2 linked regions of the Macaca mulatta genome follow. The protein of the gene in region 2 purifies or fractionates together with the protein of the main gene of each other region. This does not show direct contact. Links are inferred from orthologs where the notes say so. Each region holds a gene or a part of one and is shown on either strand. Other genes may lie near its edges.

Region 1 (4,913 bases), on a different chromosome or scaffold from region 2:
CCACCGCGCCCGGCCTGAGACAAGGTCTTGCTGTGTCACCCAGGCTGGAGTGCAGTGGTGTGATCATAGCTCACTGCAGTCTCGACCTCCCAGGCTCAAGCGATCCTCCGGCCTCAGCCTCCTGAGTAGCTGGGACTATAGGTATGCTTCACAAGCCAGGCTAATTGTTGCCCAAGCTGGAGTACAATGGTACGATCTCGGCTCACTGTAACCTCCGCCTCCCAGATTCAAGAGAACTCCTGCCTCAGTCTCTCAAGTAGCTGGGATTACACGCACATGCCACCATGCCCAGCTAATTTTTTTGTGTTTTTTTTGTTTTTTTTTTTTTTTTGAGACGGAGTCTCTCTGTGTCTCCCAGGCTGGAGTGCAGTGGCGTGATCTCGGCTCACTGCAAGCTCTGCCTCCCGGGTTCACGCCATTCTCCCGCCTCAGCCTCCCAAGTAGCTGAGACTACAGGCGCCCGCCACCACGCCTGGCTAGTTTTTTGTATTTTTAGTAGAGACGGGGTTTCACCATGTTAGCCAGGATAGTCTCGATCTCCTGACCTCGTGATCCACCCGCCTCGGCCTCCCAAAGTGCTGGGATTACAGGCTTGAGCCACCGCGCCCGGCCAATTTTTTTGTGTTTTTAGTAGAGACGGGGTTTCACCATGTTGGTCAGGCTGGTCTCGAACTCCTGACCTCAGGTGATCCACCCGTCACAGCCTCCCAAAGTGCTGGCATTACAGGCGTGAGCCACTGAGCCCAGCTCCTTTGTCCACCTTGGTTGAATGTCAGGGGTATTTGTCTTTTACCACACTAGAAACTTCCTGCAGACAAACCCCTGAGCTGAATCTTCTTTGGGGCCCTAACACCCATCTGGACAGGTCAGAGGACAGGCAGTGAATGTTTGCATGAGTGACAGAGGCACTGAGTATGTACCCATGTGTCATGTGTGTTTCTGCTCACCTTCTCCATGCTCGTCTGTGTACTGGAAGGCCTGGACCAGCCGCAGAGCCTCATCCACGGAGCGTCCCACAGGCAAATCATTAACAGTGATCTGGCGAAGGACACCCTTGCCATCGATGATAAATAGGCCCCTGAAGACATCAGGGTTCCCAGTAAGGAGCTGGGAGCTCCCACTGCCAGAGACAAGGAAGGGACTACCAACCACCCGCTGCTAGCCACAGGGCTGGGGGCAAAGAAGACATTGTACCGGAGTGGTTCCAGCTCCACAGGAATGGGGGGTCTCCATGAGCCGGGCTGAGGGTCCCACAGTACCTGTAGGCAATGCCTTCATCTGTTTTCAGCACGCCGTAATCCTCAGACAAGCGTCTGGTCACGTCAGCAAGCAGGGGGATGTTCAGGGGGCCCAAGCCTCCTTCCTTCCGGGGGGTGTTGATCCTGGGAGTAGAGGAGATAGAGTTGGGGCCTCAGGATGCCTGGTACAGCCGGGTCCTCACCCTGTGGGCCCAATGTGATAAGCACTGGAGGCCAAAGATAAGGGGCTTTAAAGTAGGCTGCTGGGAGCCTCACCCACCCCACCCTGGGTTGGGTACAAGGACTTCCCACAGCTGGGAAGACTAAGCTTGAGAGGCCACACTCCAGCTAAGTGGCTTCACATGTGCTTGTAACTTGCAGCATCACCCAGGAGAGAGCCCGTGTTAAGAGTCCCCGTCCTCCTCTAGCTGTGTCATGGGGTACAGCTCTTCACTTAGGTGAACCCGAGTTTCCATCTTTATGAAATAGGGCAGCACAGCCTCCCCCCCGGGAACTAGTAGATAGAGCAGATAAAGTTGCATCTGAGTTGCATCTGCAATTCTATGTGCCAAACAACTAGCTCAACTAGCTGCCAAATGCTAATTACTGCCATCCTTAAAAACTTGGGCGGCAATATTTCCATTATTTTCAAGATGGGGAAACGCAGGTTCCAGAGATTAAGCAATGGTCATGAAGCCACACAGCTCGGACCCGAGGGTGTGAGCTTAGCTGCAACCTCCTTCTCTGGCCCCTGCTCATACCAAGCCAGGTGGGTGAACTGAGAATCCACCGAGACGCCCAGCACTTCGCAGCCCAGCTTGCGGAAGTCCTCGGCACGGTTGCTGAACGCGATGATCTCCGTGGGGCACACAAAAGTGAAGTCCAGAGGGTAGAAAAAGAGGACCACGTACTTCCCTGGGGAGGAGGGACCAAGAGGAGTTAGGGCCCAGCCTCTCTCATGCACGGCCCCGCTTCTGCTTCTACCTGGGTCCGCTCCGGGCTGCGCTCACCTTTGTAGTCCGACAGCTTCACCTCTTTGAAGGCGCCGTCAACCACGGCTGTGGCCTTGAAGTCAGGGGCTGGCTTTCCGATGCGCGCGTTACCGGAGGCCATGACTGAAAGCTGAGACCCCTGTCCGGTCAGTGCGCCCGGGAAGACCCTTTGTCCTCCCACCCCAAGGTCGCGCTGCGTGCTGGGCCCTGTGACTGAGTCAGCACGGCGGAGGCGACAGCACCAACCCTCACCCTCCCGGGTACCGGGTCTGCGAAGCCCAGAGGCTGCCGGAGACCCGCCCTCCTGACCAGAGCACGAGTGACCCAGCCACTGCCACTAGCACCCCACGAGCGAGTGGGCCGGAGCGCGGTGTCGCAAGCCCCAAGTCCAGAAGGAGACAGTGAGGCCCCCTCGAGCAGGGGGCGGGGAACAGGGCGATCGGGCCTGCACTGCAAGGCTGTGGCCTCGGTTTCCCCCGCAAGGACAAAGGAGGCCACTACAGCGGATGGAAAACAAAGGCGGCCAGCACTGAGGTCAGGATCCGGCCAAAGCAGCTTGAAGGGGGTCCTCCCGCCAGGTGCACTCTGTGTGTCTATACCTGCGTGGGCAAGGGCTAGACGCACGGACGATCACACGTGTGGACCCGCGTTCTCAGCGCCAAGTGAGCCCTGGGCCGCGAAGCCTTTTATGCCCGGCCCGAACCAAGATGTGCGCTGCGCAGGGGAGGGAGCAAACGAGCCGAGCGGTCGGGTCCACTGCACCCTCAGGTGCGGGGGAGCGTGCGGCCGAGTCCATGCGCCTGCGGGAGCCGGGGGGAGACGTGTTGCCTTCGGCCGGGACCACTGCACCGGCTCGCGGGGGTAATGCGGCCGCCGCAGACTCCGCGCACAACTCTGCCTGCGAGCGCGCTGGGTGCCGTTGGAGTCGGGCATGGCCCGGACCCCGGCGGCGCTGCTGCTGGCGCCTCTGCTACTCCTGCCGCTGGCGACCCCTGCCCAGGTCTACCAGGACTATCAGTACTTCGGCCAGCAGGGCGAAGGTGACACCTGGGAGCAGCTGAGGCTGCAGCATCTAAAGGGTAACCTCAGGCGGCGGGGGTGACGATGTCCATAGGCTCCCCGTTGCCCTACTTCTCCTGCTGGCTGCAAAGGGACCTTCCTCCGCGGGCTGCAAATCTCCACCCAGCTCTGCACTGGAGGCGTCCCCTTGGGCTGGTTACTGTTCTCTGAGGCTCGGTTTACTCTTGGATACGTTGAAATAGATACTGCTTTAAAGCAGCTCCCAGGGGAAGAGGGTGTGGGTAGGACATTGAAGCTGTCACTCGGGGATAGGTGCCAGGAAGGGCAGAAGCAGAGAAAGAAGGGGGCGGGCAAGCTTGGGAAGTCAGAGAGGGTCCGGTTGCAGAAGACCCGTGACCAGTGCTGCGAGAACGACAAGCGAAAACCCCAAATGGAAAGATTTGGGGAAAGAATGTCCAAGAAAGAGGGAATAGCAAGTGCCAAGGTGAAAAGGCCTAAAGGAGAAATGGGAAGAGGTCGGTGAGATGTGGCAGAGTGGGTGTGGGAGGGTAGCAGGTGTCAGATCTTGGTGAGCCGCGAGTTGGGATAAGATCGGACTTGGAGGCCTGGCGCGATGGCTCAAGCCTGTAATCCCAGCACTTTGGGAGTCCGAGACGGGCGGATCACGAGGTCAGGAGATCGAGACCATCCTGGCTAACATGGTGAAATCCCGTCTCTACTGAAAAACACAAAAAAACTAGCCGGGCGAGGTGGCGAGCGCCTGTAGTCCCAGCTACTTGGGAGGCTGAGGCGGGAGAATGGCGTAAACCCAGGAGGCGGAGCTTGCAGTGAGCTGAGATCTGGCCACTGCACTCCAGCCTGGGCGACAGAGCGAGACTCCGTCTCAAAAAAAAAAAAAAAAAAAAGAAAAAAAAAAAGATCGGAGTTGGGATAAGATCTGTCTCATAGGGGAAAGGGGCAGATTCAGTAAAGAGCTGTTTGAAGTGATCATAGTGGCCGGCGAGGTAGCTCACACCTGTAACCCAAGCACTTTGGGAGGCTGAGGTGGGAGGATCCCTTGGTCTCAGAGACCAGTCTAGCCTGGCCCACATAGCAAGACTCCATCTTTACAAAAAAGATTTTAAAATTAGCCTGACCTGATGGCCTAGCACTTTGGGAGGCCGAGGCCGAAGGACTGCTTGAGCCCAGGAGTTCAAGACCAGCCTAGGCAACATGGAGAGACCCCCTTCTCTACAAAAATAAATAAATAAATAAAAACAAAAAATAAATTAGCCTGCCATGGTGGCATGAGCCTGTCCCAGCTACTCAAGAGGGTGATACAGGAGGACCATTTGTGCCAAGGAATTTGAGGCTGCAGTGAGCCATGATTACGCCCTTACATTCCAACCTGGGTAACAGAGCGAGATCCTGTCTCAAAAAATAAAAATAAAAATAAAAAATAAAAAATAAACCTGATCATAAAAATTTGGTTTGTATATGCTAGCGCAGCACCAGGAGATTTACTTACCTTCATTCTGTCAATTATGCCATTTATCACTTGATAGTCCTGCTGGTCAGTTGGCATTGTGCCTGCTTCAGGGCCATGGTCACACCCCTGAAGACAGAAGTCAGCATCAGATGGCGGGCACCAAGGATGTTATAGGACACTCACAACTGTGCAGGC
Region 2 (4,854 bases):
CCCCTCTTCAGAGCAGAGTGGGACTTGGAGAGCAAAGGCCCATACCCCTTCGCTCCTCCTCTCATCATTTGCATTGGGCATTAGTGCCCCCCCTTGAAGCAATAACTCCAAGCAGGCTCCAGCCCCTGGACCCCTGGGGTGGCCAGAGCTTCCCCATCAGCTCCCATCCAGCCTCCTCAGGGGGTAGGAGAGCACTGCCTCTAAGCCCTGCAGAGCAATAACACTATATTTATTTTTGGGTTTGGCCAGGGAGGCGCAGGGACATGGGGCAAGCCAGGGCCCAGAGCCCTTGGCTGTACAGAGACTCTATTTTAATGTATATTTGCTGCAAAGAGAAACCGCTTTTGGTTTTGAACCTTTAATGAGAAAAAAATATATAATGTCGAGCTCAAGAACACTGTGTGTTTGGTGTCATTGGGTCAAGGGTTGGGGATATACACGGCAGAATTTGGAAACAGGGTATACATCAACAAAAACATTAGTCATAACAAGAAAAACTGGCGCCTGGCACAATCAACTCTCAGTTTCCTCTTCACTCAGCAGCATGTTGGGGATCCCGCGGCTGATGGGGAACATACGTCCAGACTCCGGGCACTGCAGGGTGCCCTCTATCACTTCCACCTGCGGGCGGGGAGGGACAGAGCTGAGCACTGGCAGCCTCAGTGAGGGAGGCAGGTGGCCCAGGAAGCAAGTGATGGGCCGCTTCTCACCTCCAGCAGCAGATGGTGCATAGTCCTCAGAAACTCTTCATTCTCCTCATATCCCTCAACCGGCCCTTTAGGCACCTGGATCAGGCGCAACTGTGGGCAAGAGTCGAAATTATCTCCGGGCATCCCGAACTCCCGCCTCAGCCCGGCTGAGGTGTGCCCGCCCCGCACTCCCCGGGATATGCTCGGGCGGGGTAAGGATCCTCACATTATCGGCCGCTTCCAGGAACGCCGCCCACTCCACCTTAGGTATCATACGCGCCACGAAGTTGGGGTTGAACTCCACAGGGCAGATACGGACCTCAGTGGCCTGGCAGGGCGGAGGAGTTTAGGCAAGCACTGGACCCTGGCCCACCATCCCACCCGAAAAGGGAAGCCCGCCGTGGTACCTGGAGGCGCAGGGGGAAGCCACGGGACCCCACCCCCCGCACATGCGAGCTCAGCAGATTGTGGGTGAGCAGTTTCATATCGCCGAACAGGCTCTCGTCAGGCCGGAACCGGAAAGAGGGCGTCCTCCGCTTCGTCACTTCCGGGGATGCTCCACTCGATGCTATTGGATGGCCAGGAGAACGGGAAGTGGCGAACTTACTGGAAATTCTCGTGCTTGCGGGAGCTGAGCTAGGTAGGTGAAAGACCTGTCGGGTCACGCGCCACTACCGGAAGCGTCTCAGCAGGAGGTTCCTACAGCGCACGCCCAGCTTTTTTTTTTTTTGCACAAATCCGTCGTATCATGCAAATCATATGCAAAATAGCTGCAATGCAGGGGCTCTCGTTGAATGCAAAATAAACATGTTTTACTCCTACACAGGCGCCTAACACCGTCGTCTTCTGTACCCCGCTTTCGGCTAAGGGGCAGAAATACTGCCCTATCTGTAAATTAGACCCGTGGAAGCCGAGCGGCACCTCATTCTTATATGCAAATTAGCTGCCCCACTGCCGAAAGCTCTGCCCAATTTGTAATTGCGTCTGCTGTCCAGCCAGCCCCCGAGGCAAATGAGGCGAGGGTCCCGGAAGCTCTGTTACACGCGTGGCCGCTCGCGCCTGCGCAGTGGAGGCGGCCCAGGCCCGCCTTCCGCAGTGTGTCGCAGCAGTGCCTCCAGCCGTGCCCCGCCTGCTGCGGTGGCCCCAGCTAGGGGGCGGAGTGAAAGTGGTCTTAGGGCGGGTATGGGACTAGCCGGCGTGTGCGTCCTGAGACGCTCAGCGGGCTATATACTCGGTGGGGCCGCCGGTCAGTCTGTGGCAGCGACAGCAGCAGCAAGACGGCGAAGTGAAGGAGGGTGGGCGTCTGGCGGGGTCCGCAGTTTCAACAGAGCCGCTGCAGCCATGGCCCCGATCAAGGTGACCGCTGGCCCGGCCGGGCCTGACATCCCCCACTACCCCCATGCCAACCCCCGTCGCGCTGGTCTGGGAATATCGCCTTATTTCCTGCCTGCCAGACCCCTCCCCGCCGGCCGCCCCGCTCATCCCTTCAGAAGGCCCTCCTGGCTGCCCACCCTTCTCGCCAGTCGTGGGGACCTCACCTCCCGGGGCAGTTCCGAGGCATTGTTTCTTTTTTTTTTTTTTTTTGAGATGGAGTCCCTCTGTGTCGCCCAGGCTGGAGTGCAGTGTCGCAATCTCTGCTTACTGCAATCTCCGCCTCCCGGGTTGAAGCGATTCTACTGCCTCAGCCTCCTGAGTAAGTGGGACTACAGGTGGGAGCCACCACGGCCGGCTACTGTATTTTTAGTAGAGACGGACGGGGTTTCACCCTGTTGTTCAGACTGGTCTGGAACTCCTGACCTCAGGTGAACCGCCCGCCTCGGCCTCCCGAAGTGCTAGGATTACAGGTGTGAGCCACCGCTCCTGGCCTGATTTCCCATATCTTCTGAAACAGCTGTCCCTTAGTGCCCCCGCCGGGGCTTCCCCCATCCCGCTCCGCCCTCCCCTCCTCCCATGGCGAATTCCCACCTTTTTGCTTGTCTTTCACTCACCTCCTGGAACCGTCCCCGGGGTCTTGGACCTTCCCCCTTCTCCTCCCAAACCCTGTGAGACCCCATTCCCTTTCTACTTCATCCTGCTGCCAACCTTTGGGCTCCTCAGAGACTCCACCACCTCAGACACTCTCTCCCTACCCACTCTGGCCCCATGAAGCCCTCACATACTCCAGGGGCGGATCCTTCCCCCTTCAAAAGATTCCTTCTTTTGTTGTACCCCTCCTGGGTGTAGGGGCCTGGACAGCCTCCCCCAGTGTTCCACCTGCCGCTGCCCTCCCTCTTTCTCCTCTTGAGGGTGGGACCCTCAGACCTGGCCAAGATCCTCTCCCTCCATGTTGTCAGGGACTCCTCCTCACCTCCAAATACAGCCCTCTAGCCCCTGCCCATTTTATTCCACTCCTTTCCTGTAACAGACAGCATGTTATGTAACCCTTTGTGACACTAGGGGAAGCCTTCCCTCCCTTTCTCTGTTGTCACCAATGGCCCCTTAAAAGGAGCAGGGCCATCTTGAAACCTAGAGGATATGGGGTAACCCGGTGTGAGCGGGCAGGGAGGGCCCTTGGAAACTCTGACAGGGCTGGAGCATCCTGCTGGGTTTCAGCCCCGGCTCCTGAAGGCCCGGCTGCCAGGCGCTCTGTTCACCTTCCTGCCTATGGTTTGCCCCGCTCCCTCACCCCCCTTACCTTGGAGTCCTTCCCTCTAGGTGGGAGATGCCATCCCTGCAGTGGAGGTGTTTGAAGGGGAGCCAGGGAACAAGGTGAACCTGGCAGAGCTGTTCAAGGGCAAGAAGGGTGTGCTGTTTGGAGTTCCCGGGGCCTTCACGCCTGGATGTTCCAAGGTGAGGCCCTTCCCCTTCTGAAGTTCAGGACCTGGGATCTCTTGTGTTGTTCTTAAGTCCTCCACATAGTCCTGACAGGACTCCTAAAAAGCATTTCAGTGCCATCAGAAAACAAGTAGAGCTGGACGCGGTGGCTGACGCCTGTAATCCCAGCACTTTGGGAGACCAAGCTGGTGGGTCACGAGGTTGGGAGTTCAAAAGCAGCCTGGCAAGATGATGAAACCCTGTCTCTACTAAAAATACAAAAAAATCAGCCAGGCGTGGTGGCGAGTGCCTGTAATCCCAGCTACTGGGGAGGCTGAGGCAGAGAATTGCTTGAACCCAGGAGGCGGAGGTTGCAGTGAGTGGAGATCGTGCTACTGCACTCCAGCCTGGGCGAAACAGTGAGACTACGTCTCAAAAAAAAAAATAGAGACTGCAAAAAGGGAACAGTACCAGGAATGTTGAAGAAAAACATATTGCAATTAAATCCAACACCCCTGTTGGTCCTGCTAAATGACAGGCACTTTGGAAGGTGCTTGGAACTCAGATAACTAAGACATAGTTCTGCCCATGGAAAGTTCACGTCTGGACCATAAGGCATTAGGTTTCATTCTGAGCTTCCTAGTGGCCAAGGCAAAAAGGAAATAGAGTGGTTTAGACAGCTCTCATTGTCTGATCAAAGGTGTTGAGGCAGAGCAGTGAGGAGGGCCTGGAGATGAAGGGTGGGCTAGGGGGCAGATGCAGTTACCACTTTGCCAACCCTTTGTTCCCCTTCCCCAGACCCACCTACCAGGGTTTGTGGAGCAGGCTGAGGCTCTGAAGGCCAAGGGAGTCCAGGTGTTGGCCTGTCTGAGTGTTAATGATGCCTTTGTGACTGGCGAGTGGGGCCGAGCCCACAAGGCGGAAGGCAAGGTGAGGTGTGGGGCCTGCAGGGAGTCAGGGCCAGGTAGGATATTCTTCTTGTGACCTTTCCTTTCTCTGCAGGTTCGGCTCCTGGCTGATCCCACTGGGGCCTTTGGGAAGGTGAGTGTTCCCCTGACCACCACAGGAACATGGTCGTGTGGGGAGCAGTGGGGGCCCTTGGCCTCTTCAGGGATTTCTGATACTTTTCTCTGTCTCTTCTTAGGAGACAGACTTATTACTAGATGATTCGTTAGTGTCCATCTTTGGGAATCGACGTCTCAAGAGGTAAAAGTGGAGAGTCCTCTGTGGGGGAGAGTCCCCTGTGGGGAGGGTCCCCTGTGGAGAGAGTCCTCTGTGGGGAGAGTCCTCTGTGTGGGGGAGAGTCCTCTGTGGGGGAGAGTCCTCTGTGTGGGGAGAGTCCTCTGTGTGGAGAGAGTCCTCTGTGGAGAGA

Evidence for each region. Proteins that work in one complex are often made in the same cells at the same time.
Region 1: the proteins of PRDX5 (region 2) and PRDX2 fractionate together in Homo sapiens (co-fractionation; 3 studies listed by BioGRID). This does not show direct contact. The link is inferred for Macaca mulatta from reciprocal best matches to the Homo sapiens genes PRDX5 and PRDX2.

The regions. Positions count from the first base shown.
Region 1 is NC_133424.1:13,355,091-13,360,003, forward strand, and holds the start of PRDX2 (peroxiredoxin-2), read right to left. Parts: upstream 2,945-4,913; 5' UTR 2,830-2,944; intron 2,361-2,829; 5' UTR 2,352-2,360; coding exon 2,249-2,351; intron 2,154-2,248; coding exon 2,000-2,153; intron 1,383-1,999; coding exon 1,260-1,382; intron 1,079-1,259; coding exon 948-1,078; intron 1-947. Other genes in the region: THSD8 (thrombospondin type-1 domain-containing protein 8), read left to right, coding at 3,162-3,309.
Region 2 is NC_133419.1:10,078,725-10,083,578, reverse strand, and holds the start of PRDX5 (peroxiredoxin-5, mitochondrial), read left to right. Parts: upstream 1-1,783; 5' UTR 1,784-1,871; coding exon 1,872-2,045; intron 2,046-3,383; coding exon 3,384-3,518; intron 3,519-4,280; coding exon 4,281-4,412; intron 4,413-4,484; coding exon 4,485-4,523; intron 4,524-4,626; coding exon 4,627-4,688; exon of another isoform or gene 4,689-4,854. Other genes in the region: TRMT112 (multifunctional methyltransferase subunit TRM112-like protein), read right to left, coding at 514-621, 711-800, 916-1,017, 1,097-1,174. UniProt on the Homo sapiens protein: Thiol-specific peroxidase that catalyzes the reduction of hydrogen peroxide and organic hydroperoxides to water and alcohols, respectively.